Rhinolophus ferrumequinum: one gene and its partner. The main gene of each other region encodes a partner of the protein of the gene in region 2 in a complex. Links are inferred from orthologs where the notes say so. Each region holds a gene or a part of one and is shown on either strand. Other genes may lie near its edges.

Region 1 (15,989 bases), about 5.3 Mb from region 2:
CAACACTTAAATTTCTGAGTGGTTCAAATCATTTTCTGCGATACCTAATACAATGCCATGATCATCCATTGACATCTTAGCTCAATATTCTTTGCAAATGAACGAAGTCAGTGATAGTTCAGTAAGAAAGAGATTGAGCGTTTTTGATGTGAGTGAAGATACAAAGATGAAACACTACTGAACTTTGGATTTCTCATGGGATATATGCCCTGAAAATGCAGCTTCCAATTGCCAGGAAATAACTCAGCCAAATGATAGCAAGAAGGTACACCGAGAAAAAAAGAGAGGGAACAGAGGGGTGAAGAGTCAGTGTCACAGTTTTGACTAGAGCCCATTTTCCCCCTGTTGCGGGGGATGGGGGTGCAGCTAACAAACAAAATCCCCATGCAGTTCCATAGAAGTGATTATTATATTCACCCATCACACATATGTGTGGCTATACTACTGCTACTGTACAGCTAAAATGAACAACAGTATTTACACAGATAGCAAACTTCTATTTTTTGCGGGATTCTTCTTGCTATCTGTGGTATCTTCTACAAGATTTTGTTTATAAATGACTGAATGTAGAAACAGACTATGGAGAGGAGGGGGAGGAATCAACTATTACCTTTTAACACTTTAAACATGCAAGAATTAAACACTTGCATGCATTCTGAACAATACATAGTATAAATCATTAACTATTTATTAGCAAAGAAATGCAAATGTTAATCGTTTTTGTTTTTAGTGTTACAGAATCAGAGTAAATTAGAACATTTCGTTAGAGAATTTCATTATTTGTTTTGTAATAATATTTAATTTATTACTAGGTAAAACTTAGTTTTAGTGTCTCACAGCATCTTATAATCTAAAATGTGAAAAAATAAAATATGAATGCTATTACAATCATTTCAAAACAGAACAATGATAAGATACTTCTGAAACTAATTCTTAAGCGTGGTAGCAATCTGTGATTACTTAGCAGGTTGCACCTTCATAAAACTATATGAATGATATACTAGTTATTCCAGTATTACAGAAATAAGTTAAAAAAAAACAACATGGCTTATAATTACAAAGAAAAAAAGTGTAAAAGCATTAGTAACTTGTTAGGCTTACTAAAGTGAATTGATAAAGAAAGAATAGACCCAGTTCGTGCAAAATACTGTGAAAAGCCAACTATCAAAGCAACTCAACTGTAAGGTTTTCTCTTAAAACTAACCAACTATGTTCCTTTGAAAAAGTTTAATCCATTTAGATAGGCTAAAATATGAGACAAAAATACTGAGGCTGGGGTTCCTCTAATCAAAATAGTTGATCAGTGTCACAGACAATCATTCAATTTCTGTCCTCATGCTCAGCCCATTACTGAACCCCAGTATAATGACACAGTTATGGCTAAAAGACAGCATCAATAGCCAATAGGCCCATCCATAAACATTTACAATTTTGGTCCTCTATGCATCTATCTACCTTCTCTCCACGTTCTCTTCAGGAATATCCCCTAAACCTTTCACCCATCTGGTGCACTTCTCATCTATTTCTTCTTTACATATTTGTTCCCCTGACTTCTAGCTATGTCTTATTGCCTTTATGTTTTAAAAATATTTTTCTGAGTTCCATTCTAATCAGTTAAACAAATGAAATTACTATGTATTACTGAGGCATACGTAGGAGCTGAAAGTCTTTCCTCATTGGTTGTCACTGTCCACTAGAACAGTGGTTCTCAACCTTGGACACGCATCATGAGGGAAAGTGGAAGACTCGACGCTTACGACACAAGCCAGACCAATGAAATCAGAATCTCCTGGGGCTGGATGCCTATTCAAAGGTGCCCAGGATATTTCAATGTGATCCCAAGCATCACTGACCTAAAGTAAATATTTACTGATAGCGAAGAAACATCTTTGCAGTGCAAATCAGTATAAACAACAAAATGTTTGGTTGACCTCAATGTGAGGTCGATGTAGTAGATGAAGATTAAAAAGGAAATTGGGGATTGAAATGAAAACAATTGGTCAGATAACTCAAACCAAAAGAGTATTTTGTTTGAAGTAGTTATCTGGATACTTGTTCTTATATATTCAATCTAGCATGAAAAAATTATCTTAATGGATTATGATTTCTATGTGGGGGAGCATGAGACTGAGAGCATTATTGATTTCTTTCCCTTCATATTTTAATTCATCTTGCACATGCAGATGCCAACCTCATCTAATTAAAGCAAATAAAACCAATGTATAACAACAATTATTAAAGCTTTGTGGTTGTACCCTATATAGCTACTAATCTGACCCAGTTATAAATCCAAAGTAAAAATACTCATTCTTTAGTCTATAAAACAACAGGCATCTAATATTAAGGTAAAATTTTGAGTGTTTCCCTATAAAAATAAAATACAGATCATAAAATTAGTCGTTGTATATGGAACAAAACTATGAAAAACAAAAATCTAGGTCATAAAAATTATTATGATATTGGTTTTAACCTTATAAATGGCCTTATTAATGGCTAAAGTGATTATCAGAATGGTGAGACTGATTTTGCAGAGAAGCAACTCAACTATAAAAACATGATTGAAAATAATAAAATGGTAGAATATAAAACAGGTCTGTTTGCATATGCATTCTACACTTCTGGTATTCTACACAGTGTCATAATATGTACGATAGCATTTAATCAACAGCAGAATAATATTTTATACTCAATATTTAAGTGAAAAGAATTGTTAGATATTTGATTTTATTTTTAAAACATTTTTCAAGAATCTAGAGTGCATGATAACAAAGTGAATTAAGAACTAAGAAATGCTCAAATTGCACATCATGTAACCCAAATTCCATGTTCTCAAACTGGTTAATGTTTGTGAATGGTTCCTGCAAACAATACAGAAAGCCTCAAGTATCACGATTGTTACATATGCCTAACATTAGCCAAGTATCTTTTCAGTCAGTGTCTGTTAAATAAAAATCATCAAAAGAATGTGCTTTGATATGAGATAACAAAAATAAAAATATGAGAATGCATATATTCTTAAGAGTATAAAAATTAGAATTTATCCTGTGAGAACTAAGATACAGATGATGTGATATTTATCTTGGAATCTAATCTCAAATCTTCTTTAACTAATCATCTGGCTTAAGGTACAGTAAGTAAGTAAAGCTATCAGTAACAAAAGTTTACCTGTAACATAGAAATTTATATTCCCTAAATATCCCAATTTCATAATCTATATTTTCAAGTATGCTAAGGAGCTAAAGACATATTTAAGAGAAAATATTTAATTTAAAAAATAAAACGTGTTAATAATATGTATATGTACTTTTGTAGCTAAGAATATTGCATATTTAAATATTACCAGCCAACTTGAAGATTATTACAAATTAGTCAGATTTGTATCATATATCAAAAATATTATTTTGAAGAACTCTGCAACCTACATAGAATTACTGTCATAACTTTTGCTACTTGATTTATGTAATATAATAGCTTGACTACGTATGAGCATAGGTATGTGCAAAAGATCTTCTTTATTTTTCCATAAATTACTTCCCAGGATAAATGTTTATATTTTTAAAAAATCAAGCCAGCTATTTTTCAGAAAATTAAAAAAATATTTTTGAGTGCAAATGATTTCTTTTATGTGTTGTAATACAAAATTTACTAAAGTAAATCCAAGGTGTATTTGATCTCCAGTGACTATGGACTCAAGGCATTAAGATTGTATCAGATTGTTTTTGTTCGTTCGTTTGTTTGTTTGTTTTTGCATAAGAGGTCAAAAAGCTCTTTAAAACAAGTTAAATAAAAATTAAATTAAATCTATTTCATTTTACACATATATGGAATGTGGCTTTTTTTAATGGGAGAGAGTATAAAACTAAAAGAGTATATGTCCTCACTTTTAAAAGTTATAAATCACTGCATTAATTATTTAATTATATATGAGTATGATAAAGTTAATATAGTTCTCCTAAAATATAAATTCCAATAATTTGTATAACTAATATGACGAAATGTATTCTATCTATATTTTATAAATACATTTATAAACTATTAAATTGGGTGTTTTCATGAATATATTACCAAGTCCAGAAATATAATGCATTTAATTTTAAAATAGCCTAGGCCTATGTGACTACTTTAAAATATGGAAAATTTTGCATAAAATGTATATCTTGAACAAAGTCTCTGATGATAATCATAATTTCATAATTATAAGTATGTTTGAAATAAGTAAAAGTGTTCAGAAAGAATCTCAGACACATTTTTCAGACTCCAAGTAGCATTTTAAACCATGTAACATAATTTGTAGAGGATATTTTTGTGACTTTTGCAAAATTATAAAATATATATTAAACTAAGGAACTAACCAATCAATTTGTAAGTTATCAACCAAGAACACTTGTACCTTAAATTTGAAAATGTTATTTTTGGAAACAGTTATTGTTGAATAAATGTTTGAAAGTTACAAACAACAAAACCAAGAAATAGCTACAAGATATCACAGGTCATAAATTCTGTGTGTGGGTTGAGAAATTCAAATGACTGTACTTACTTTGCAATGTGAAGAAAAAATGTTTCTAAAAAGGAGTTAAGATTTTTATAATGTGCTTTTGTGTATACAGTCAACAACTGCGACTTTATACAAAAACACAATCCAGAAGTATTTCATAACAATACAAGTTAGTTTAACCTACACTATACCTTACACCTATGATGACATAAATATAAAGTTGAGAATTACTTCGGGTCAAGAAGAAAATAAACATCTACTTATATTTAAAATTTGGATATTTGAACAAAGATATATTTGACATGCTTGTTTGAAAGATAGTCTACTATCAGTCTAAAGTCTACTGACCATACAGATTATCTCTTAAACACTGAACCTATGCAAATTGCAATTTCTAGATATTTCTATAAGAATTACATTCAGAAAAGCAGGCAGATTCAAATTATTACAAGGTACCACTTTTAAATATAAATAGTATACTGAAACCCTTGCAACATTTTTATAAGTAGTAAAATTAGGAGGTACATAAGTTTCCTTATTTGTCCTCATTTTTCCAATGCAACACAACTTGTCAAAATAAATATGTAAAAATCACACTAGTCATTCATTATTAACTTCTACCACTAAGAATAAGTTTAATCCCCATGCATGAGGTATAGTGGTACAGCTAAGAAAAATACATAGGAAAGTTTCAGATCCATGTATCCAGTGAAGTAACATTCTAAATTAATGTAACCTCAATATTATTGTTTTCAAAGAAGATCTGTTTCTGGTCTTGAAGTATGTTGACAAAGCAAGTTTAGTTTGAGTTTAGCTTAACTGTCAAAAGCACAACTAATCAATCCAAAGTAAAAACAGCCCTTGAACCATGTTTATTATAAATAGGTATCCCTTAGCCCAGTTATTTTGTCAAACATCACAAGGTCCTTTGGTCCATATTGCCCATATTTCCCCAGTACAAAGCAAGTGAGGCAAAATGGGGACAGTTGTTTTGTTCCTGCGTGGTATTGGGGAAGTAGTGAAGTGAAAGGAAAAGAGGGAATGTGGTGTATTATTTCTTTTTAAAAGCAATACTATTTTATTGTGGTGTTTAAGAAATTACCCTTGGAACAAAACATTAAGACTTACTGAGATTCTGTCATCATTTCCTCCCTACTGAAAGGTCACTGCTGTATCTTCATCTTCAATAGATCTCTTGGGCAAATCTTATTTCAGCACCACGGACAGTAACGCTTCTACTAGGACATGCGCCCCTGGTTGGTTGCATTGGTCATTTTTTAAGAAATTTGCATACACTTCTCCTTTGTCAATCAGCAAGGGTTACATCCATTATTATATTAAACACGAAGAGATTGAATATGATACACATTTTGAAAGAGTTCAGTATTTTTCATTCATAGCATAAAGCATTTGCCATTTAGTACTGGAGAGCATTCTGAAGATTCAAACTAATTATATAAGATCTCTGATAAAACCTAACAGTGATCATTGATCACCAGATACTTAATTAAATAATCCTACTCATATTGAGTCTCAGCTCAATAATTATACAAATGTCTAAGTGAAAACACACACACACAAAACTTATGGTGAATAAATTATCCTTAGGTAGGCCTCCAGTTTTCCAAATAACCAGAAATACCCCTGTAAAACAAGTAAAAAATTTTTTGTGCTTCCTACATAAACAACTACAAATACTTTCTCTTGTCCCTCCTTGCCAACCAACTTACTGATTCACTATCAGAGAGTTCATGTGTGCAGGTCCATCAGCCAAAACATACATGCCTGTCTCTGACTTCTGATTTTAGATGGAGTCATCAGTCCCATCACTGTCTTCCTAACAAACCACATTTAAATTCCATTTTTTTTAATAAAAGGTAACAGAGATTAAACCAATTACATATCTTTAAGAGATAGTTAACACACTAGCTTGATTATCTCAGAAGACCTGGGTCTTCCCTGATCTTCTAAGGATTCCCAGAAGGAGGTACCACCAGTCCACCAGCGATCCACGAGGTATTTCCAACTCAAGCAGCAAGGCAAGCTCTTATAAACCCAAAAACGACGACTGAAGAAAACCAGAGCCAAAAAAAAAAATTTAAAAAAACTCTAGAAGACACTCCAACCAAGCAAAACAGATAGAAAAGCACATGACGGGCAGAGAGAAAAAAAACAAACAACAAAAAAACAGAAACCACCGTTCCTACCTTGCAGTCCTCAGGACAGGATTTCACCGAGTACTCCTCCGACTGTAAATATTTATGGAGCACACTTTCGAACTCTTCGTATTTCTCCTGAGCGTGGTGATCGTAGTCTTGGTAAGCCTCGATGCATTGCCTGCAAGTGGTCCTCTCGCCGTCCTCCTTAAGCACCACATCCAGACTACAGTTCAAAGTGTTGGGACTTGACAACCCCGAGAACAACTCCCAAAGTGTGTAGGAATTACAAAACGAAAGGTAAAAATCCGACAAGTTCCAGAGCGGAGTTGGATGCGTCCCCCTCACCTGCTGCTCCTCCTCCCGGGCCGCCACCCCCCGACTCCAGTTCCTGGCGCACACAGCGTCGGCGCTCTCCACGGTGAAGCACTGGCCCGAGGAGGCGCCCTGGGGGTAACAAGTCTCCAGGCGCCACACGGGTTTGGCAGAGTTTCCTAGAAAAAGAGCTTTGCTCCGGCTGTTTCTGCCTCGGTTGCCCTTGCCGCCGCCGCCACCGCCGTCTCCCGGGGAGGGGGGCAGGGTGGGGGACGAGGAGGCGGAGAGGAGTCTGTGTGCCTGGGCGGCGGGCGAGGACTCCCCCATGCTCGCCAGGAGCGCGGGCCAGGAGGGCTCCTGCTGCCGCTGCCGCTGCTGCTGCCGCTGCCGCTGCTGCCGCTGCTGCTGCTGCTGCTGCTCCTTGTCCCGGGCCCGGGTCAGCTTGGCCTCGGCGCAGAACCACAAGTGATCAGAGAGCAGGACTGTGAAAAACAAGAGAGATGCCAGAGACAGTCGCCATTTCTGAGCCCTCTCTGAATCGATGAACGGTTTCTCGTTCTCCCGGGGTGCTGCCAACCAGATTTTTAAGCCGTCGTCATACTGCCGACACATCCAAGCACCCCTGGTCATATTTTGGGAACGCACAGCCCTGGCCGACTCCACCGTGAGGGCTCCTGTGCCGGTGTCACCGCAATATGCATTGACTTAAAGGGTTTAATTTCCTTATCCCCTCCTCCCGTTTCTTCTATCTCTCTCTCTTTCCCTCTCTCTCCCTCTCTTCTCTTCTCTGTCTTCTCTCTCCCTCTCTCTCTCTCTCTCTCTCTCTCTCTCTCTCTCTCTCTCTCTCTCTCTCTCTCTCTCTCTCTCTCTCTCTCTCTCTCTCTCTCTCTCTCTCCCTACATAAATATTACCAGGCTTTAGAGGAAGATCTGACTTGCTTCCGACCTAATCATCAGCCGACCACATCCTCTGTAGAGTAGGAAACAATAATGCAGAGAGAGAGAGAGAGAGAGAGAGAGACAGAGAGAGAGAGAGAGTGAGTCGGAGGAGGCTGGGCTGGTGGCCGGTGGTGAGCTGAGTGCAGGAGGTGATGATGGAGGTGGCAGGGTGGCTGGCGCTGCTCCTCTCACCCAGGCATTGTCAGAGCGCGGGTCCCCATGGCCCTGCTGAGGACAGCCCGCTCCCCCCTGCCAGGGGCATTCCGCGTCTCCGCTGCCCACTGACAGCGACCAGAGAGCCTCCCCAGCTCCTCTCCTCCTCCTTCCTTTTCTTCTTTCTCTCCTCCTCCTGCTCCTACTTCTTGCTGTCTCTCCCCGAGTCCGGAGCCTGGGCGGCCGCCGCCAGCAGGGCTCTCCCTCCCCCCCACCCCCCACCCCGCGCTCTAACTGCCGCTGCTGCTGCTGCTGCCGCCGCCGCCGCCGCTGCCGCAGGTCTGCCCGCGGGCGCCACCGCCGCCGCCGGGCTTTGACTGCTGACACCGCCTCCCCCGGACCTTGGGGCCGAATCGCCTGAGCTGGGCCTCCCGAGAGCCACAGTCATCTTCAGTCCCCGGCTAAGTTGCCGCCATCTTCGTCCTGGAGAAACACTTTTTTGGGGGGAGCGCTGGCTTTTGCGTCATCTCCTCCCGCGCCGAGATCTCTCCATCCTGGCGCATTGGCACCGGGCTCGGCCAGCGCGGAGGAGGAGGGCGAGGACGCACCGGGGCCGGGGAGGGGGGGGCGGGGGGCGGCTGTGCCCGCGGGCCCCGCCTGGGCTTCTGGGCTCCGGCGCTTCTTCCTTCCTTTCTGTCCCCTATCCCCACCTTTAGTCTTATTCTATTAGTACTGACAAAAGTCAGAACGCGAATGCATGACTGAGGGTGCTAGATCATTTCTTCAGCATCTTCCACTCTCTCTCTGCCTTTGGATAAGCCCGAGTTGCAGGCGGGCAGTTCAGGGTTGCTAATAGGGAGAGGGTCCGGATATTGCCCTCTTAACTAAGTAATGATCGACTTCAAATGCAAGGTTGGGGAATAGGAGAGTAAACACGAATTGGCTAGAGGATAGAGGAGGTGACATCTGCCTTGGGATCTCCATGTGCCTTGGGATCGCTAGAAAACTAGCGATCAACAACTACCAGTGCATTATTTTGTCAAATGAGTTTCGTGCCATATATAGAAGGGATGGTGTGTCTACATCTATATATGTCGCTGTATATATTACTGCGACGTATTTCATATTCGAAAGTAAAAATAAGTGTCCTCATATAGTCAAGAAAAAAATCAGTAAGACGTCGGATACCAGCGGTCAAAGCCTAGCCTCTGCTCCGACTTCAACGTGTTGACCTAGGATTCCTCCTTGCATCTGGAGCATTCCAAGTCCCCTTAACCCTAGCTCCGCAGGCCTGCGCCCCAGCGCCCACCGAGTGAGGCTTTGCTCTCCCCAGGACTTCCGCAGCAGGTCAACGGGCTGCCCGGGTGTCAGGCGCTGCAGTCCAAGCCTCTGGTGCCCCTTAGCGTTGATTCTCGGAGTTCCGAGAAAGCGACGGGCGCGCTGGGAAAACCTGGGGTCCCCACGATCCCTGCTCGTGCTGGTTGATGCTGTGGGTAAACATCAGTCTGGCTTTATCTAAAGACCCTGCTCACTCCACCCCTCACTCCCACTCGAGCTGCGGGAACAGGAGACAGCGCGAGTGCCAGGCGCCACTCTGTGCGCGCAACCCTAGCGAAGCCTTATCCGGAGCTCTCTCTGGCGGTCGCCTAGGAAAGTGGTTTATTCCACCTGGCAATCACTGTGTCATCGTCCTTCCCTGCTTTCTAATGACCCTCATACTCTGCGGGGTGCACATGCACGTCACATTGTCAGTACTGGGTGCCAACGTTCTAATAAATATCTTGAGAAACCAAAGGGATGGATCGTCCGTATTCATTTTGGAGAGGCGCTGTGGGTGTTGGGATAACAGAAAAGTGGGTATTTTTAAATACAACATAAAGTGGGCTTGTAGACGGAAGTGAGTATAAGGTCTGGCATTTTCTGTTGTATAAATAAATACATGTGAAAGATAGCAGAAGTCTGCATTTATGTTTCTTGATAAAAGATTTTGCAGAACATGAAAATGAGCATATAATATTCTCAATCCTGAAATGATTCTTTCTCCCTTTTGTTTTGAACCTGTTGGACCTTTGTGATCAAATATAGCCGTTCTTATTATAAACTCAGAGTGGGGATTTTTTTTGTAAAAGAATTTTAAAAGGAATAGTTCTTATATCTGTTATCTATTTTTCTATCTATCTTTATCTCTATCTAGATTTAGTTATTTAATACCTGGGTTACAGGATTTATTTCATACTTCTTTCTCTTATCTACTCCTTTTTTTTTTTTTTTACCCTGTTTCTTCCTCATTTGAAGATGCTGCCAGGACAGGTTTATATTTCTCTTGATGTCGCTTGTCTGTGTAAGACAGAACGGTCAGAAAACCCTTGACTAGGGAAGCCCACAGGGTGCCCCTGAGCTGGGACACACACAGAAAGCTCACAGGCAGGCCAGACCTAGTTTCAGAACACAGAGATGATCTGAGGGTGACTGGCTTTTTAACATGAAAAGGGAGAATCCACCACAGCCATTCTCCTACCCTAAAGGGAGACAGGTGTGCAAACTGGCTAAAATACCTAAATCGGTGACCACCTCCCACTGTGCACCACCTGACCACCACATAACCCGGCTGCCTTTGCACACCATGTGCCTCCAACCCTGGCAGCTTGGACTCACAGCTCAAGTCAAACCCGCTCCTTTTCATAGTGATTAATTACACCGTGGCTGGATCTAAAGAAGACCTTAAGTCCTCTTTCAAGACAAAAAGTGGCATAAGTCCCACTGAAATGAATTATCATATTTGTTCCTAAAATATAAATTCTTTCTTCCCCCAAGTCAACTATACTATAGTTTTTGACTAACTCCCTTCCACAACCCCACCACTCCATGTTCAGTTTCATCTTCAAAGTTCATGTCCACTAGCCTAGAGTTGCACTGTTAAGTGCTCTGGCTATTGACAGATAGACTCATTTATACCATGTCTCCCCAAAAATAAGACCTAGCCAGACCATCAGCTCTAATGCATCTTTTGGAGCAAAAATTAATATAAGACCCAGTCTTATTTTAATATAAGACAGGGTATAATATAACATAATATAATATAATAATACTTATATTAATTTTTGCTCCAAAAGACACATTAGAGCTGATGGTCTGACTAGGTCTTATTTATGGGAAAATACGGTAACTCCTAAGGGATGGTTTAAAGCTAAGGACCAACGGAGCTACTGAGATCAAACTATTAACAATTACTCTGGACAGTGTTTCGCAGCATTTCCTCTACTGACATTTGGGGTCAGATAATTCTTTGTTGTGGGGGTCTGTCCTATGCTTTGTATGAGGCTCGCAGCCTCCCTAGCCTCTACTCACAAGTACCAGTAGCAAACCCCCTGTCCCCAGTTTTGACAATTAAAAATGTTACCAAGCATTGCCAAATGTCACCTGGAAACAAACTCACTCGCACTGAGAACCACTGCTCTAAAAATACCTCAAAGTAGTAGTTACTTAATTCATATCTGCATAGGAGAAGTTCAGGCATCAGAAATAAAGCTATAATTTTTTCTTTAATTCAGCGAATTTATAATCAAAGAACTCTTTTCACCTAGAATCACCACCTCATCATACCTCTCTTGTTATAGAATATTTTTAAAAGTCTACAAAATATCCAAACTCCCTATAGACACGTGTCCCATTTGGGAGACCATCTCAGGGAAGATGTAGATGCCTGATCACTGTACTGTACACCTGAAGCTGAATAATAATGAATGCCAACTATAATATTTTATATATATATATACATACATATATATATATATATGTATGTATATATATATATACACATTTATAAAAGGCAGAATACAGCATTGGGAGTGGAGACAGTGGAAATGGGATGGCTCGGTGGTGTGATGTCAGAGAGATAGTGGATGGGGGGAGGGGGGTCCACAGTGTGAGGGATACAAATGATAAACGTCTAAGAAAAAAAAAAAAAACCTCATAGACACAGACAATAGTTTAGTGGTTACCAGAGGGTAAGGGGGGTGGGGGGTGGGAGATGAGGGTAAGGGGGATCAAATATATGGTGATGGAAGGAGAACTGACTCTGGGTGGTGAAAACACAATGTGATAGATTGATGATGTGATACAGAATTGTACACCTGAAATCTATGTAATTTTACTAACAATTGTCACCCCAATAAATTAAAAAAAAAATATATCCAAACTCTCTTAACCTCTCTGCCAAATACAAAGTTAAGGGAACAACTGACAATTTTCATTTAAATCTGACTATCTGAATTTTTCTCCATAATTCAGGTGAAAATATTATTTATTAACCGAATTGTTTATTATTCAGGCAACTGTCTGTTTGTACTTTATATGTGGACCCTCGACAATATATCATAAGCTAAACGTGTGTATGTCCATATATATATATATATATAATACAAGTACTGCATGAACATTTTAGAAAATTACAAAAAACAAATAAGCAATTTTAAAAGTCAGTCGTAAGTAATACCAACACCCAGATACAGTCATTATTTCCATTTTGTAGTATCTAACATTTATTTTATATTATAAATCCCTCTGTTTTATGACATTTACTAAACCAAATTTTTTTTAACAGTCGAAGTAGAAAGTATGATAGCATACATAACCACATTTATTAGATAATAATGCAATTTTCTCTTCAGTATTGCATTATTAATTTTAATCAGAGACACACAAATTCTAATGGTATCTCAGAACATCAGCATCTCTCTTTCTCTAAGTATGTGATTAAATCAGAAAGAGAACTAGGACTGGGGAAATAAAAGAAAGGAACAATATATAAATTAAAGGTCCATTACTCTCAAACAAGGCAAAGAAGCAAAGCTGGACTCTGTTATTTTTACCTTATTATTACTCATATCTAGTCAAATTATAATTGTCTCACAAAATATTTCAATGTTTAGTAAAAGTCTGATATACTGCATTAAAATAGTGTTTTATCTGATTTTTAAAAAATAATTAGGATAATAATATTTTCTACAATAGACCATACTTAATTCTTTGTTTTTAAGTAATCTGGACCTTGCCTTCTTCTAATAGTTCCCATGAGTTGGAATGTTTTAAAATACGACAGCTTTATGTGTACAGACCCTCTGGAAGTAAACTGTCAACATCCAATGTCACCTCTGCTTGTTCTATGTTGGTTCTAGAACGAACTATGGAGAATCTGAAATAAAAGACCATGTCTGGCCTCTTGAAGCTTAGCTAAGGGAAAGAGAAAACAAGTAGGCCAGCAACCACAAGACAGTGGAAAATGCTGGCGAATTGGCAATTTAGAAGACTCCAGAAGAGGAGAGGTGAACTCTTACCTGATTTTGAGAAGGACCAAGACAGGAAGGTATGAAGGGAACTGAGCAACATTAGGAAGGATTCTTGAAGAAGACCTCCAGTTTTCAAGGACTCTGGCGCTTGAAGGGGCTCAGGGTCCTGGAGGATCTATGGGTAAGTGGGCTGTGCTGGTGTGTGGGGAACACATGGGGAATCTGCAAGGAAGAAACTAGAGACAACAGCTGGGGCTCCATCACAAACAATATTGTAAACTGAGTGAAGGAAATCGGTTCTGCTGAAGGTGGTTGGAATTCATTGAGGAGGTTTAGATAGTGGTTTAAAAGTTCGTTTTCATTAATATCACTCTTCACTAAAATCAAAATGAGAAATATGTTCGAAGAAGGTGTTGACCAGATTAGTAAATGTTGATTCTTGTTAGCTTATCAGCTCAAATGTAGCACAGTGGAAAAGAAGAGCAAATAGTTTGGATGAAGTTTAGGTTTCATTTATCAGAAAAGGCAGGCTGTGGAGTCTAGAAACTCCTACGTAGGTTTTACCTAAGAGTGTGACTAATAGCATAGAGTAGTTTAATAACATAGGCACATTTCACAAAGCTGCTGACTAACACAATTGCAAATATTATATTGAGGGATATGGTATTGGAATGTACTTACTGTATTACTGTTCAGGTTGTCATTTATGCTTATGTCCTTCAAAGAATCCAAAGTTTTTAAGTTATTTGATTATACTTACTTTCATGGGAATCTGTATTTTTTTCCTATTTAAATAGCTAGATTTGTTATGCATTGAAAGGTAGATACTTTGCTTACTCTGCTTTTATATTTGAAAATCAATATAATATGCTTGCTTTCTCAAAAATTTACCCTTAAATCTACTAGAGTTAACATGTCCCAAATAATTTTACCGCAGAAAAGTCAAATCAAGAAGAAATATATTTTTTCTTCTAGCAAAACCACCACTTGAATATGTCTACTCCCTAAACCAAATATATAACAATCCTGATATACTTTCTTTTTATACCTTAAATGTCTTCTGGATACACAAAAATAGGCACATCCTCATTGTTATTGTGTGAGGCGTGATCAAAAAAATACAGTGAGTGTTTAAATAAAAAACAATTTATTAAAGTAAAGCACACGTTGCTATTAATCCCCCTCAAAAAAAAGTCCGCCTGCTTCAAACATACTTATCCCATTATTCTTGCTGCTTTCCAAAGCAGTTCTGGAAGTCCTCTTTCCTGAGTATCTATGGTTTCACTTTCACTGTCACAGCTGCCTTAATGTCTTGAATCAATTCAAAACGTTTACCTTTTATGGTCATTTTGACTTTGGGGAAGAGCCAGAAATAGCAAGATGTTAGATTTGGTGAATAAAGTGGATGAGGACACACCGTAATGTTTTCACTTGACAGAAATTGCCATACCAGAAGCAATATGTGATATGAAGCCTTTCTGTTGTGATCACAAAATATGGTGAATGCTGCTGCCAAGTGCCATCCAACGGAAAGGCAGGGATCTTCAATATGGGAGGTGGTGAGTTGACCCTTAGTAACAGTGTGTGATAAGTTTCAACTTGTTCGGTGCAGTCAATCGGGTGTGAGCTACAGTTGGGAGAAGGTGTGTTTTAAAGTGTGCCGTAAATCATCCTCCATCATGACAAAGCTCCGTGTCACACATCACTTCTGGTATGGCAATTTCTGTCAAATAAAAATATTACAGTGTCCTCATGATTTACAGCACACTTTAAAACACACTTTCTCTCAACCGTAGTTCACACTCAACTGTCTACACTGAACAAGTTGAGACTTGTCACACATTGTTACTAAGGTTGGACATGGCTTCCAGTATTGAAGATCCCTGCCTTTCTGTTGGATGGCACTAGGCAGCAGCATTCACCAAACTTCTTGATGACAACGGAAAGGCTCTGTGTCACACATTGCTTCAGGTATAGCAATTTCTGTTAAATAAAAACATTACGGTGTGTCCTCATCCACCTTATTCACCGAATCTGATACCATGCTACATCTGGCTCTTCCCCAAAGTCAAAATGACCAAGAAAAGTAAACGTTTTGAATCTGTTCAAGACATCGAGGCAGGTATCACAGCGAAACTATAGACACAAAAGAGGACTTCCAGAACTGCTTCAGAAAGCAGTAAGAATGATGGGATAAGTGTGATGGAAACGAGGAGATGTGTTTTTTGGGGGATTAATGGCAATGTGTCTTTTCCTGTAATAAATTGGTTTTTATTTAAACATTCACTGTATTTTTTTATTACACCTCATAAGTGAAACTAGATTACATTCTAATGTACATATTGATCTAGAAAAGGAATTTTGTGTTTTCAGGATTCACAGATAATATGCAAATTATTGACCAGCATATTAATATATTTTAAAATAAATTAAGCATAAAGAGCTAATAAAGAGTTGTCTATGTTTACCTACGAAGAACATAAGATTAAACCTTTAGCTTTTAAGTCTCCTACAGTTTGCTAATATAAACATCTCTTTAAAGATAAAAACAGATTCTAGAACTATCAGGTAACTGAGGGCTCCGGTTAATTACCTACAATGGTAAATATACCAGAGTCTTTCTGTAATTTTGATTGATCTTTTT
Region 2 (14,930 bases):
TAAATCCAAAAAAAGCAGCATATTATTTTTTCTGGTTCTTTCTACAAATACCGCAAAACAGTATCATTACTTCACGAAGGATTCTGTTGTCTCAGTTTTGTAACAGTGAAAATTGAATTTTCTTTGACTTTTAAAAATTATTAGACTTGATAAAGGAATTCAGGATAGACTATGATGGCCCAGCATGCATTTGTCGTTGTACCCTGCATGCAAAACTAAAATAGCCAAGGAGTAGGGGAGGAAATGAAGTTGTATTTATCACATAAATCACTGTAGTACTGAGTACAAATTGAGGCAATCAGCTTGCACATGTTGGCTGAGCAGCCTCTCCCCAGCCTTTATTCAGAAAACTCAGTCCATTTCACAAGCCCTTGTCTTTCACTGCAAGTTTAAAAAGGACATGCATTTGTAATTTTGTGAGTTATTCTGGGTATAGTGTAAATTGTAAGAATATTTAAAAAAGAATATTAGAGTTACAAAACACCACAGGTCGACCATGTGATTTTGTAAAGTCGAGAGTTTACTAATCTCAGAGTAGTCCCTAAAAGGCTTTCCCATCCTCCAGGTAGTGGCAAAGCCTTTAATGCTTTTTATTATCCAATAGTTCAATAACAGGCTTTTTATTATGAAAATCAGACAAGGAAATTATCTATTTTTTTTTTTTTTTGCGGATGCTTAATGTTGTAATGAATCTACAAAGGTTGGACTAAAAAGGTGGATGGTTTAAAATAGTGGTTTTCCAAACTTTTCTATACGTAAAATAGTATGGAAAATTGAAAGGAGTTACCTTTTTGGTGTGTGGTTGTTTAATTTTGTAATATGAATCCACAGATTTTGCACAAAGAAGGAGAAGGATTTAAAATAGCAGCTTCCTGAGATTGCTTAATACATAAATCATCCAGCGAGGTTTTTAAACATTCTCAATGCTGGGTGTCTTTCACCTCAGATATACTAAATCAGAACCTTCTGAGGTGGTTATGGGAAATAGTACTTTAAGGTACACTCCCCAAGTGATTCTTACACACTTCCAGCGGTGGTCTCAACTAATGATGAAATCCCTGGTCTAGATGTTCAGTAGAGCATTTTAACACCGTAGCGTTTACTATTTGTAGTCAAGACTAGTTGTTTGGTGAAATTAAAAAAAAAAAAAAAAATTAGAGAGACCAGCTATAAACAATACAGGCAAAACGGAAATCTGAGACAAAATTTTTGATTTATAACTCTATGTACATACAGTATATTCTATTTTTAAATTTTTCTCAGAGAATTTCAGAATTTTCTCAAAAAATACTATATGGAATATATTTTATGTACAAGAATAAATGTTTGTCTTATGAGAAGTTTACTAAGAAATGTGGTTTTTCCTTGACTTTTCTACTATAATTTTCTAGTGTAGAATATACCTCTAAAATAGCTATTTATTTCTTGAAAGGAGGAAGGGAAAACAAATTGCCTACTTCAACTAAGTCAGTTTTTAAAATACTTTAAATTTTTATTTAATAAAAAGTAGAAAGTCTTTTTGAAGCTCACCAGAGTTTAATATCTTTTCTCCATAAAGTATTGACATATATTGAATTGAGGGGAATGGAAAGAATAATTTAAGGAGAGGTATCTCCAAATCCAGCAAGCTCTATTTCTGAAAATTTAAATCCCTTATTTACAATATTTATCCTAATTTCTGTGCTTTACTTCTTGGGTTAATCGTTAAGCAAGTTTCCATGCTTGAAAGATTCCCATCCCAATTTTACATTATCTAGGATTTTTTTTTTAACCTCAGGCAAATTTTGTTACATATATGCAATAGTATTTTCAGCCTTCACTGACTTGTATCTTGTCTGATACAAATTTGTATTTTGTCTGATACAGGCTTCCATAATTTGTACTTTTCAGCAATAAGAAGTAATTTTTAAAAAATCCTCCCTCTACTCCAGAAGTAATAAATGAAGCTGATCTATGGTTCCATAAAAATAATAAAGGAGAACAGATTTTTAAAAATAATAAAGCCAAAGCTTTACAGCTAACTCAATGATAAAGAAGTAATCAATTGTTTAATCTAGGCATAACAAACTAAGAATAAAAACACCTACAATCAGCCAAACTTGAAGTTCTGGATTTATTTTTCACCCATCCCTCCTTTTCATTCTTTTGGTTTGGTCACCAAGATACTAGCATTTGTTCTATCGATAAATCTCTACCATTGCCTCTGCTTTTTCATTACTGTAGTCTGATTCAGTTACTCATCCTTAGAATTTCATCTCCAATTTCTCCAATACCTTCCTTCACTGACCCCCATTCTTATTTTTCTCCTTCTTCTTGAGCTCATCTTTATTTCTGGGCATACTGATACATCCTATAGATAGCTATAGATTAATATGACTTAAGGATTAGAATGCTGAGGCTCTTAGTTTTTTTCTATCAGATCTAAAGCTTTCCCATTTCATAATGAATCCATTCATGTTTTTAAACATTATCCTCTTTCTTTTCCTCTCCAGTTCTTTTTTTTTTTTTCTTTACTTCTCAAACCAAAATGCTGATTTTTCAATCCCACCATAGGTCACAGAACCTTTTGAGGGAACATTGCATCTACGGGTCATGTCTCCCAAAATAAATGAACATAGTAATACTTTCAGTTATACGTATTATAATGCTATGACAATTAATATATATGAGATTTGTAATTATAATTTCATTAAAGATGGTAACTTTTATTACTTTAATGTTTTTTCTCATTTAATTACTTTTTGAATCGTTTGATGTTTACATATTTCTACCTTACTTTTTTTTTTTAGTAGCACTTGCCTAATATGTGCCAACCAAAAAAGCCCTACTATTTCTTCACCTTTTTCATATTCCCTTTTTGATTCATATTAGTATCATAAGAGAATTGTCTTCTAGTATTTTTCAGAATTGTACATTTTCAGAATATTATTTTACTCTTTGCTTAGGTTTCATTTTGGAGAGGGTGCATCCAGTCAGTATAAATTTTTCCTTTGGAGATCGGTGATATACATTTTTTTTAACTTGACCAGAATATCAATGGGATATTCTCCTTTAAAATTTTTTTTCAAATTCCAAGTGTTCACCATGCTATAACTAGATGTTGGCTGCTTTTCATTAAAATTTTCCTGGTCCATTATAAATAATTTTCATCTGCATATTTTTTGTTTTTTAAATCTAAAAGAAAATATTGTATTTGACTTAGAACATGGCTTGTATTCTATTTGCTCTGATCTTGTATTCCATTTACTTGTGTGTCTCTGTTGGCTGTCTTCCATAAACGTCATGTATCCTTGCCCCAAACAAACTCCTCTTTTCATCTTGTTTCTTTGCATAATTGGAGATAAGTCTAACTCTTGATCTCCATATAAGTGATTCCTTTGGCTACAATGTTCTGACCTTTCTCTTCTAATTCTCCTGGGATTCCTCTCCAGAATCCCGACTCCTGCCCCACCTCTGGACACATTGACTTAGTCCCTGTCATCTGAGTGTATTCCATTTGGTATGGTTGCACTTGCCCTAGGGTATCACAGAGAAATTGCTTCAAAAGTCATGTAATTCTGTCTTTCTTAGAGAATGATCCAACTTTAGCCTTCAACACTTCAAATTAAGTGGGTCTACAGGAGTTCTGTTCCTTGGTTTTTTGTACAACTCTCTTAGAAAGGGACTCGTGACTTAAACCTCAGACTCGCCCAATAGTTCTATTAATCTAGTTCCATCTGTACTGAATCTATGAGAAATGCCTTGGAGTATATAGTGAACAGTCTTTTTCACTTTATACCTGTGGGGTACAGGTTTCTCACTACATAAACTCCTTTGATCATTTATTTTAAGTCTGAATAAGAAAGCAAAAAAGCATAATTACACTCTGGAGCTCAACATTCCTTTTTCCTAAAAGACGTTACATGCTTACTCTCTTTTTTACAGCTTACTACTTTTATGCCACTCCTGTTTAGGTTTTACTCTAAGGGGTATATTTTATCATCTGGATTTCAGATTAAGGTAATCTAATTAAGTTAACCTAATCTGTTTAAGGTCAAGTCTTTATATAATGCAAAGGTCTTAGGTCCAAGCTATTATCTTATCTTATTCCTGTAAAAGAGGGAAGGTTATCCACAAATACTAAATAGAAAGCAGATTTACCTCAGAAAGCATATAATGCATCTTATTTGTAATTATAATCTTTAGGAAATGAACTTGAATATATGTATATATGCATAATATACGTTATATATATGCATAATTTATACATAAAATATCCATAATAATTTAAATAATCTATTTGTCCAGGAATATCATTATTATTTTGAAATTTATCATGAAGAGAAATAACATCCACTAGGAATAAATCCCTGTACTCTATCGGGACATTATTTATAATAATGGAAAACTGGAAACAGCAAATATCCAATGACAGAGGTATGGCTATATAAATGAGGCTAATCTTATACATACAGATAGCCATATACAATTTTTAAGCAAGTAAACTGTATATAGAAACACGAAAAAGTACTTATGATAAATGTTAAACGGAAAAACAGTATAAAAAATGTACAATACATGACTATGACTACACAAAGTATGTAGTCTTAAAAAGGCTGCAGTAAATACAGATATTACAATCATTTGTGTTAGGTTGTTAGGAGTATAGGTGTTTATTCTCTTTTCTCTACCATTTGTGTCATTTCCATCATGTCTGATTATTTTAAAATTCAAAGCATAAATTTAAAGATTTTAAATGTTTGCACACAAAGAGTTTTGAAGGTGTAAAAACTTCTTGCACAAGTCCTTGAGACAGGTAAGAATCATATAACATGATAATCAAACTCTAAAATGTTGTTACCAATTTTGAAGGGCAATTCAAAATTTCTTTAAACTCAAGGTCATAATTTCCAAACCAAAACTAGAACATAGGATGCTCACTCTATCCACTTGATTACAGATTTGTCTTTTCTGACAGATTCTTAGGGTCTGGGTTTATTTATCTCTTTCTTCACTGAATCCGTAGGCCTGGTGCCTGGCTTACAATTAAGATATAATACTGTGGAAAGATGTGATTTTTTTCCTTCACAAAATCTAAATCCACATGTGACTTTTCCCCCCTGTAATAAATTTATATAGCCATGAAGATTCTGAAATTATTTCAGCATCATTGATAAATGATAAAATAAGTACGTACATGTGTGCCCAGGTGTGCGTGCACCTACACACACTTATAATGTATGCAGGAAAGAAAAAAGAAGCAAATAGAACACAATTCAAAAACATGTCATTCCCAAATAAGAAGAAAATGCTATTCAAACCTTTAGTTCTCTAAACTGCAGCGACTAATACTATTTTGAGTAGGTTTTTTTCTTTTAAAAGTAGAACATTTTCCTCTGTTGAATATCTTGCAAATCATATCCAAAGTTATAACTACATTACGACCAGCTCACAAGACAGAGTATCTTCAGCTTCTATAGAGCTTCTAGTATAGTCCTTATCAATGACAGAGTATCTATTCTGCCAAAATGTCAAGTATGCTAAAAACACATAAGAGGGTCCAATGAGCCTATCCATTTAAAAAATTTTCCCCAAATCTGATTTTTCCTTCAGTCTGCTTGGGTTTAGCAATAGCTAGCTCAAAATACACTATAGAAGAATGAAAAATTCAACATAGAAAGGTCCACAGAATGAGAACCAACCAGTTAGGAAATGAATTTTGTTGTTGTGGAGGTTTGAGAAGCCATCATTTTTATTTAGAACTATTGAAACAATCTTTGAAATATAAAAAATCACTCCAGCTGTATGTCTGCCTCAGGGATAACCATCATAGTCCATCCTTTCCCTTTCTACTTCCTTTCAAATCAAACCACAGTTGTAGCTATAAAAATATAAATCATAAACTTAAAAAATAGCTACCTATTAATTTCTGATCCCTATTAAAGGTCTTCTCCTTCAATCTTATCCTTCTTATTCACAACAGTCACTGGTACCCACCTCCCACTTCACCACCAGGGCAATCGAGGCCTACTGATGACCACACAAAGGCAAGATAAAGACTGCGACCTTCACAGGCCTGGGCCAGTGTGTGTATGAATACACATCCTTAATATATCCCTGAAAAACTATGCCTGAAATTGGAAGAGTTATCCTATGGTATGTCAAGAATATATCAGGATTTGAGTTCAGAGTCATCAACCACCCTGAAAGTGGAAAATTCGAGTCAGAAGGGTAACCCATTGCTCAGGTTTCTGGGCCCACTTTGAGTTTCCAGCCTGGAAATCTACACGTTTCTTAAGGGCTCAATGACAAAACGGTGTTGCTTTGGCAGAATGGTGTTTTTGCATGTTGTGTGTAGCCACCCTAATGATTTAAACAATCATTAGGCTCAGCCAGGCCAATTAATAAAAGGAGGAATGTGAAGCCCAGAGCCATTCGCAGAAGCACGGAGGTGGGGTGGGTAAGGGCCCCCGGCCCTTTCTGAAACCTGCTGGAGCAGATCAGCTTCCCCAAACCGCGCGATCGCCCACAGGGGCGGAGAGGCCCATGCACCTACCACATCCCCAGCCACCTGACCCTTAATGCCTGGTGGGGCAGGCCTAGGTCTGGCGGCCCCCGGCTTCCAGCGCCCACCCGTGCGCTTCCCAGGCCCGGGAAGGCGCATCCCGCTGAAAGACCAGGGAGGCGCATCTCGGTCGCCAGCGCCCCCTTCTCGCCTAAGGTGGGGGCGCCCCTTCTGCCCTGGTGTCGGGCCCTCGACCCCCGCCCCCGCCCTCCTGGGCCCAGCCCCGGCGAGAGGGACTGGCGCGCACCCGGGCCTCGGGCGGCGGTGACCAACCTGTAACCCTAGTGCTCAGAGCGGTCATGGTGCCGCGGGTGCAGCTGCGGCGGCGGCGACAGCGGGCAGGGCGCGGTGCCCACCACGCGGGGACGCGGCCCCTCACCTCCCGCAGCTCCGTTGGCGCGCGCCACCCAGCCGGTGCGGCGGCTCAGCGCTCCGCGTGCTGGCGCGCGCTGCTGCCACCCAGGCGGCGGGGCCTCAGAGCGAGATGGGTAGGGACTAGGGCTTTTTTCTTTTTGCCTCTTTTTTTTTTTTTTTTTTTTTTTCAAATCAGAGTTGGCTTTGCCGCAGGGTCTGCCTTGGGCTGAAGGGAGGAAATTGCAGAGGAGCCTGCGCTGCAGCTGGTGGGGAGCAGCAGGGTCCGTGCTGGCAGGTTCCTTCTCTCTGGCTGCCACCGGCAGTCTCACAGCAACAGCTGGGTTCTCCTCTGCCAGCTCCTCTCGTGGTCTCTGTCGTGCTCACCGAGCACGGCCGTGTGCACTAGAGATGGGCACACGTAAGGCCACCTCACAGGAGTGAGCAAGGCGTGTGTATGTGTGTGCGAGTGTGTGGTCTTGTCTTACTGGACAGTATCTGAGGATGCGGACTAGTTCACCTTGTTACATAATGAGTGCTTCAGTGACACTTATGGTAGTCTTCTAAACACATTAACATTTTTCCTTAAAACTAAAATGTTTTGTTATGTGGATGAGGCTGGATGTCCATTCAAAAACTGATAGTTTCCTCCGTGCACTGTAGGTATACCAGAACAGGAAGCTGCCTCTGAGGTTTCCTGGACTCCTAGCAGGACAGTTTTAGGGAGATCCTGGAATCTTGAGCACCGTGTTCAGGCCCAGGGGACATTCATCCTCTCAGTTGCACTCCCTGGAAAGTTTACTCGGGCTGGCATTTTGCCTTGTAGTCAGATATTAAACCCACCCAGGGAGCCTTGACAGTGATTTAGACATCATACACACGCAGGCACATAAATAGAGAGGGAGAGAGAAAAACTGAATGAAGCTTCCTCTAAAGGAGAAATCAGAACTCCTAAAGGAAGAACAGTTCCATATCACAAAATGTTATTGCCCAAGGAATGGAAGTAAGTTCATACGCACAAATTTTTAAAGATGTATTTTCTGGTTACGTATATTCAATGAAGTCACTATCTAAAAAAATGCTATTGACAACCCATTCTCTTTGGGCCAATATTAAAGCTATTTTATTGTCTCATATCAGCACTTTTTTATAATTTAAAAAATAATCAGCGTTTTGTGAAATACATGTAACTAATATTTTTTTCAAATTTCCAAAGATTTCAGAAAGACTAAATATATAAAAAGCTAACAAATGATGAAATCATATGGAAATATTCTAATAACACAAAAGGGAAAATAATTTAAACAATGGTATATTTATAAACAGTTCGTTTAGTAAAAATATGCACAGATTTGTTTCATTATTTTAAGTTACTGCTCTTAATTGTTTGATCTAACTGCTAGTTGATTTCAGTTTGTATCTTAAAATATATAGCTGTGTATCATTCTTTGGAATACATCAAGTTAGAATTATCAATTAGAAAACAATATTCATGAAATAATGAAAGACCAAGATATTTACAAATTTTTTAAAGAATTGATAATGGCAGTAATTTTACTAATCTTAGCACCACTCCTCACCAATCAGGCATTTCAGGGAGTTCCTCCGTGTTTATGGTTGAACTTCTCCTATATAAATATAATTCATGTTTAGGAGCCAAACAATGAATGATGGAGAAAATTGTGGGAAATCTGTGGGTTTCAATGAAACAGCAGTGGAGAAGCTCAGTACACTTATCCTGGAATCTGTAGGAACTCTTTGTTTACGGGCATAGACAATCATCCTAGAAGGCACATATTAATACTTATGTCCTAAATATCACATCACTTCTTCTACCTGCTCATCATCCTTATATTTTCTTATCAGTAAAAGTAGAGAGGATGGACAGCATCTTTTTCAGGTACAAAGGGCTCTGTAGCTACACTCATTGCTGTAACCCAATGACAGCAAATTGCTACTCTGTGGGTTCAATATAATTCAGAAGTGTGTTTTGATTGGCTTGCAAAATATTTTTGACAAATTAAGATCAATTAACGTTTGTAAACCACGAGATTTTTAGTTTATTATGAATTATAAGAAGATCTGGCCAAGTCAGGTTTGAATTACCTCATGGCAAAAAGTAGCTAGAGGTGTCCTGTGTCTCCCTTACACAGGTATGTTTTTCCCATTTGCCCCTGCCCAACTCACTTCAATGCCCAGCTCCAGAAGGCATGTGAAAGGGTGAGCTCATACAATTAAAGCTGTATTTAACAGTATGAGATCGAGGAAGGGGCACAGTTGAACAGAGAGAAACAGTCAATCAAATATTAGAAATCTTACAATCAGAATATGAAGCCAGGCCAATTTACAAGCAAGACAGTAAACCATCAATTAGAAAAAAATTGTGTTTATAGTCCAGGCAGGTGCTTTGGAATGAAAGTAACTGTGAAATGCAAGATAGTAAGAATTTGATGAAAATGATATATTTCTCCCTACTGTTTATTTCCATCTAAAATTAGCATCTCATTTGACACTATAGTTAGTAGCTGAGAAAACCATAACAATACTAAAAGAGAAAATTTAAAATCCATCGGCGGGGTAGGGGCGGGAGAGCAGGGGGGAAGAACGCCTTGTGCTCTATGGGAATATAGGAACTGATTAGTGTCCAGAAGGACTCTGTTAGATCAGATTTATGGGTTGATTACACTGAAGTAACTACTCAAGATGCTCCATTTCGCTCTCTTTTTTTAAAGATCCTTGTTAAGATTGATTTTAACGTGTACACATTTGCTAATTTTGCATGATTTCAGGGCTCGTATATGGTCCTCTTGCCACCAAATATAAATATGATTGACACACTTTGAGCAGGGAAAATAAAGGTCTAGAAGACCTACTTAAAAATATCAGCAGCCTAACCAGGAGGCATCCAGTGCTTACTAATTGCCCAGTATGGATTAACATGTACAGAATTCAGTCTCTGCAGAATAGATGCATTTTGGTGATGGGGGACTCTGGGGAGGTGTAACACAGTTTGTTTCCGACACATCCCGGCAGGAAGCATAATACTGTGTGCCTCTGGGGTTGTAGTATTCTCCTGAATCAGCTGTGCAGGCAACCACAAAACATCATTCCCCAGTTAACTAGTACAAGATTTTGTAAGACACCTCACATCTTACCTTTCCCTTAAGGCACTGTTCACCAAACTTCCCTGATAATAAGGATCACCTGGGTGATCTTAAATATTTCCATAGTGATTCTGTTTAAGTACTTCTGCAGTAGGACATACAACTGGAAAATCTCTCTTAAAAAAAGAGGCATCCCATTGAGTAACACAATTGCAGTAGTTGGTACCTATTCACAAGCATTCCTTTGCTAGTAGACTGAGTGGACTTGCTCTCTCTCTTCCCTCTTCTCCATCATCATATGGACCCTGGAGCAAGTCCCATGCATCTCCATCATCATATGGACCCTGGAGCAGTTCTGAAATCCCAGTAGACCCTGCATTTATATTGTAACTGTTATCTGAAGCACTAAGAACGTGTGAGTGCAACTAGGTGGTAAAAGATCATCTGCTGAGTCAGATTTGAGGTGTTTGCAAGGTTGTCATACTGCCATTTTACGTTTCAAGTCGTTCCTGTTTGCATTTAGATCAGCCATAGATAGGAGACCTTCAATAGCAAATAAAAGAAAAAAAAGATGGTACATACCTCAGACAGAACTACGACTCTTAAAATGGGCAGAAATATACTGGGACATGAAATGCAAGATAGTAAAATAAAGTCGAACGATATAGGAGGCGTTCCAGAGGACAAGCTGGACTTGGAAAATCACATCGTGTAGAAGTGTGGTCCTGCCATTATGCATACTTTACAGGTTAATTTAACAGAAAATTCTTAGCTCACAGTTTTGTCTACTTTAGATTATATTTTCAGAGAAGTTAGGTTTTAGAAGAAAAACAGGAAGACTGTGAAATCAGGAATAAATAATAATACCAATTAAACACTCATGCAGGGAGTAAAACAGAGGTTTCACGGTACTGAGCAGCAGCTGAGCTGATCGCCAAAGGAACTAGTGGATTTCTGAAACAAAGGTCGTGTTTCAAGAGAATGAGTCAGTAATCAAACGATACATGTTTTGACTATTTAATAACAGATTCTACCAGATAGGAGTAAACATTTGAGTTCTGAAAATAACCTTGAAGATCTCATTTATCATACAAAACATATTAATAAATTTATGCTAACCAAGGACTGAGCTCTCTCAGGGTTGAGGGGATGGGAACTCTGCAAGGCAAGCCCCTCAAAAGTGCTGGCTGAGGGACCAAGAATTGGTGAGACAGGAGAGAGCTGATGACCATCACTTATCAACTTGGGGCCAGTAGCAGCGGTGGGGACTGTTGTTCATTTTGCTAATTCTCCTCTTATAAATTGCCCAGAAATTGGGACCAACCGGAATCCTGGAGAAACTCTGCCTGGGTAGACTAAACAATGTGTGAAGCAAGTAGATGTGAGGAGCACTGAGAACAAGGGGTGACAGTGTTGGGTTCTGTTGATGCCACACACAGCAAGAGACTCTTTACCAGACCAGGGCATCCATTCCCCAGCTGCTGTTAGGATGAGTGCTAACAGCTCATCACTGTCTCCTTCTTCAGAAAACAGCCCTTTTCAGAATGGGAGATGCCTCGCCTGGGAAGATATAACCCCATCCCACCCAGGGGAAGGGGCAGTCTGAAATCAATGATAAATGGACAAGCCAAGCTGGCCTTCCCATCTAAAGGTGGATCAGCTCTGGTGTAATTCATCTCAAGAGATCCCAATAGGACCCAGCTGAGCTAGACTCCCGCATCCTTCCTCTGCTCCTTCAGCAATCTCCTGCTACCCTCCCTTCATTTCTCCAGAAAGCACCCCTTGAACAAATCATATGCCACTGATTGGTTGTCTCAGCTCTTGCTTCCAGCGAGCTAATCTAAGACAACTTTCTCTGTAGATGATATTCTAACAGGAGTTAGTAAGTTTCATTCTCTTATTAGTTGCTTCTAAGTCCAGAAACCTTGTTAGAACTTTAGTCCTGCAAATTCTAAAAATGTAATGTAGGGTTTTTGTTTTTAGATTTTCTGTATATATAATTATTTTATCTCCGGAAAATCATAGTTTTTCTTTCCCTTTACAAATTATACATTTTATTTCTTTTCCTTGCCTTTCTCTGCTGGCCACCTTGGAGACAGTGGATACAGAGGTAGTTTTGGATCTCAAATGGATACTTTCCAATGATTAACACTATATATGATGTTTGCTATATAGGTTTTTCAATTAATAATTTTTTTTGTATAAGGTTATTTCTATTTCTTTTTAATGTTGAATGACTTGTTTTTTAAAAAATACTTTTTCTACATCTATTGAGATAAACATCTATTTCTCTTTCAGTCTATTAATGCTGTGAACGACAAAATCAGACAATCTCTAGTGTTATCTTAAGTTGTGGTCTTTAATGAAAGCACAGACAACGAGAGCAAATGGACACTAGAAAAAAACACTTTCATCAACAATGACCAGCTACTTTATGTCTAGATCAAAACAAAATATTAAACCTTTTTTCTTTAGGGTAAACTCTTCTGACTATATGATTTATAGTCATTATGAGGTGTGGTGGCATACATACTCAGCCGTCATCTGAAACAAAGACTTTACACTTAGGAAAAACAAGTCCATTTGGAGTTATCAGAAAATTTAAAATATGCAGTTTCCTTATGTTGCACTTTAAAGCCACCCTATAGTTTAGCCTAAAGTTGCTTCTTTACAGAGCCCTGGAGTTGCCATCATGAAATCTGAAATCAGGGCATTTGGTCTCTGCTCATGACTCAACTAGTCCACTGAAACCTAGTGATAGTACACCCACGACAGTGTTTGCTGGAAAATTAGAAAAGCATGTGTGCTTTTACACACACTTAATGTCTCTTAATGTTGAAGTCATCTTCTAAATAAAAATGTTGATTTCTTTCAAACATAATTTGCTATCATTTGCAGCCAAAGTGTGTCAAACAGTTTATTGTACTTCACTGTGTAGAGTTAGTGGAGAGCGGTATGAGTCCAGGCCTTTCACACACGCTTCGGGGAGAGGACATGACTGCTGGTTGAACTACAAGCTGGGCCCGGGCTTCAGAGGCTTCTCACCCTCCCTCTGTCCTTGGAATGTACATTCTGCCCACTGATCACACAGTAGGAATCTTTTTCAAGGACATGGCCTTGAGAGAGTAAGGTGCTGCTGAGACCATCTGGACTGAATAGGTGACTGAAGCTCATTAAGGCCTATGTAAACTTTCAAGATTCGGGTGGGCAGGTGTTAAGATCTACTCATCTGGTGCCCACTTAAGACAAGCCTCCTGAATATGTTCCCTTGCTTATTAAACCTGCCACCTACCAATCTAGAGCAGTCTGCCTCTTTCTTTGGTCTTTCCTTACCCTCTGAGTATGGGGGTCAGGCTCAGATTTCACTTGGGGAACCCCATGTTTGCAAACCAATACATATACCAGGCCCTACTGTAATCCAGATTCTATTCTTTCAAGAACTTTGGAAACAAATGACTGATAAATTTATGAAAATAATTATCACTAGGTCACAGATGGAGAATACATAAGCATGATTTTAATATATTTTTGTGATAATCCTTACTGCACAAGATATTGAAGGGATATAAGTCCATCATGTTACAAACCCTGGGCTACTTATTTCACAAATGACAGCTGCTCCACAATTCAACTATATATTTTTAAGCACAGGGTAATTTTTTAAACATGATGACCTAGTTGTACAAGCTAGTTTGTGTAACCAAATTTGTTTGGAAAATAAATTAGATTTCTCTGTAATTATTGAGATAGGCCAGGCATTAAAATAAATGAACTGCTGGTACATATAACATAGATGAACTTTACAAACATGCTAAGAAAACTTACACAAGTGTTACTACTATATGGTTTCATCAATATGGATTTCAAAATTAGGAAAAAATAATGATGGAAAAATATCAGAATAATGGGGCATGAGAGTAGTTTTGGGGGCATGATAAGAATGTTCTATATCTTTAAAAAGGTTGTCTATTCTATGCAAATTTCATATAAAGTAAAAGGCTGTAAAATATGTTGAACTGTAGTTGACATGCATGCTGAATTACTTAGGCAGAAATGTGTGAAGGTCTGCAATTTACTTTGAAATGCATCAAATACTAAGATGGATTGATGGATGGATGGAGGAAGGTTAAAAGGGTGAACATATGACAGAGTAAGTAAGTGGCATCAAGGTGGTGGGTGCATGTCAGAATATTGAATAGTTTTTTCAATTTTTCTTATGTTTGAAAATTTTCACAATCAACTTATCAGAAAAACATAACCAGAGTTTTACAATTTCCAACTCTCGTACTTTTCTCAGCTCTTGCCTGGATTACTTCTGTATCTCCTGACTAGTCTCTTGGCCCCTGCAGCTTAGTCTCAGCACAGATAACCAAAGAAATAAACAAATTTACCATGCCACTCCTCTTCTCAAAACATTATGAGACCGGTCCCATTGCACGCAGAATGACATCCCCGGTTCTCTGACTTACCATGCCCCACATAATGTGTCCACCCTATGACCTTGTTAGCCCTCTGACCTCTTTTCCCTCTACCCTGCTTCAGGAATTGCTCTTTGGCCACATTCACGTCCTTGATGTTGCTTGAACTGTCACTTATAATTCTACCTCAGGGCATTTGCACTTGCTCTTTCCTCTGTGTGGAATACTTTCCCCTCAGGAATCTCTTCGCCTCACTCACCCCCTTAGTTCTTATATATCATCTTCCAGTGAAACCTTCTTTGTCTACTCTACCTAACATTTCAATGCCCTTAATACAAAATTTGTTATTCCCATTCTTTTTTAAAAAGTCTTTTCTCTACAGCTCTTTTACATATCACCATTCTCTATTATTTTACTCATTTATCTTGCTCGTTGTTTACACCTCTGGAATAGAAATTCCATGAGAGCAGGGTTTTGTCTGTTTATCCATTGCTCCATCCTTAGTACCTAGAA

What was found.
Region 1: the proteins of NALCN (region 2) and NALF1 are in contact, whole or in part, in a cryo-EM structure (PDB 7CM3), measured with the Homo sapiens proteins. The link is inferred for Rhinolophus ferrumequinum from reciprocal best matches to the Homo sapiens genes NALCN and NALF1. Residues at the interface, in NP_001337678.1 of Homo sapiens: Cys207, Val209, Asn220, Leu222, Ala223, Ile224, Pro225, Thr227, Tyr237, Pro240, Phe243, Tyr406, Glu409, Phe909, Ala1044, Lys1045, Asn1047, Pro1049, Arg1054, Ile1060, Arg1062, Ile1063, Asn1064, Val1065, Ser1066, Lys1069, Lys1080, Lys1081, Gly1083, Phe1084; in NP_001073865.1 of Homo sapiens: Lys278, Glu281, Phe282, Val285, His287, Lys288, Tyr289, Leu290, Gln291, Glu294, Tyr295, Ser296, Val297, Lys298, Ser299, Tyr308, Trp311, Leu312, Gln315, Leu335, Gln338, Thr339, Cys341, Phe343, Ile344, Leu345, Pro346, Asp347, Asn348, Asp349.

The regions. Positions count from the first base shown.
Region 1 is NC_046287.1:51,728,993-51,744,981, forward strand, and holds the start of NALF1 (NALCN channel auxiliary factor 1), read right to left. Parts: upstream 7,975-15,989; 5' UTR 7,597-7,974; coding exon 6,703-7,596; intron 1-6,702. UniProt on the Homo sapiens protein: Auxillary component of the NALCN sodium channel complex, a channel that regulates the resting membrane potential and controls neuronal excitability.
Region 2 is NC_046287.1:46,437,320-46,452,249, forward strand, and holds the start of NALCN (sodium leak channel NALCN), read right to left. Parts: upstream 7,351-14,930; 5' UTR 6,818-7,350; intron 1-6,817. UniProt on the Homo sapiens protein: Voltage-gated ion channel responsible for the resting Na(+) permeability that controls neuronal excitability. NALCN channel functions as a multi-protein complex, which consists at least of NALCN, NALF1, UNC79 and UNC80.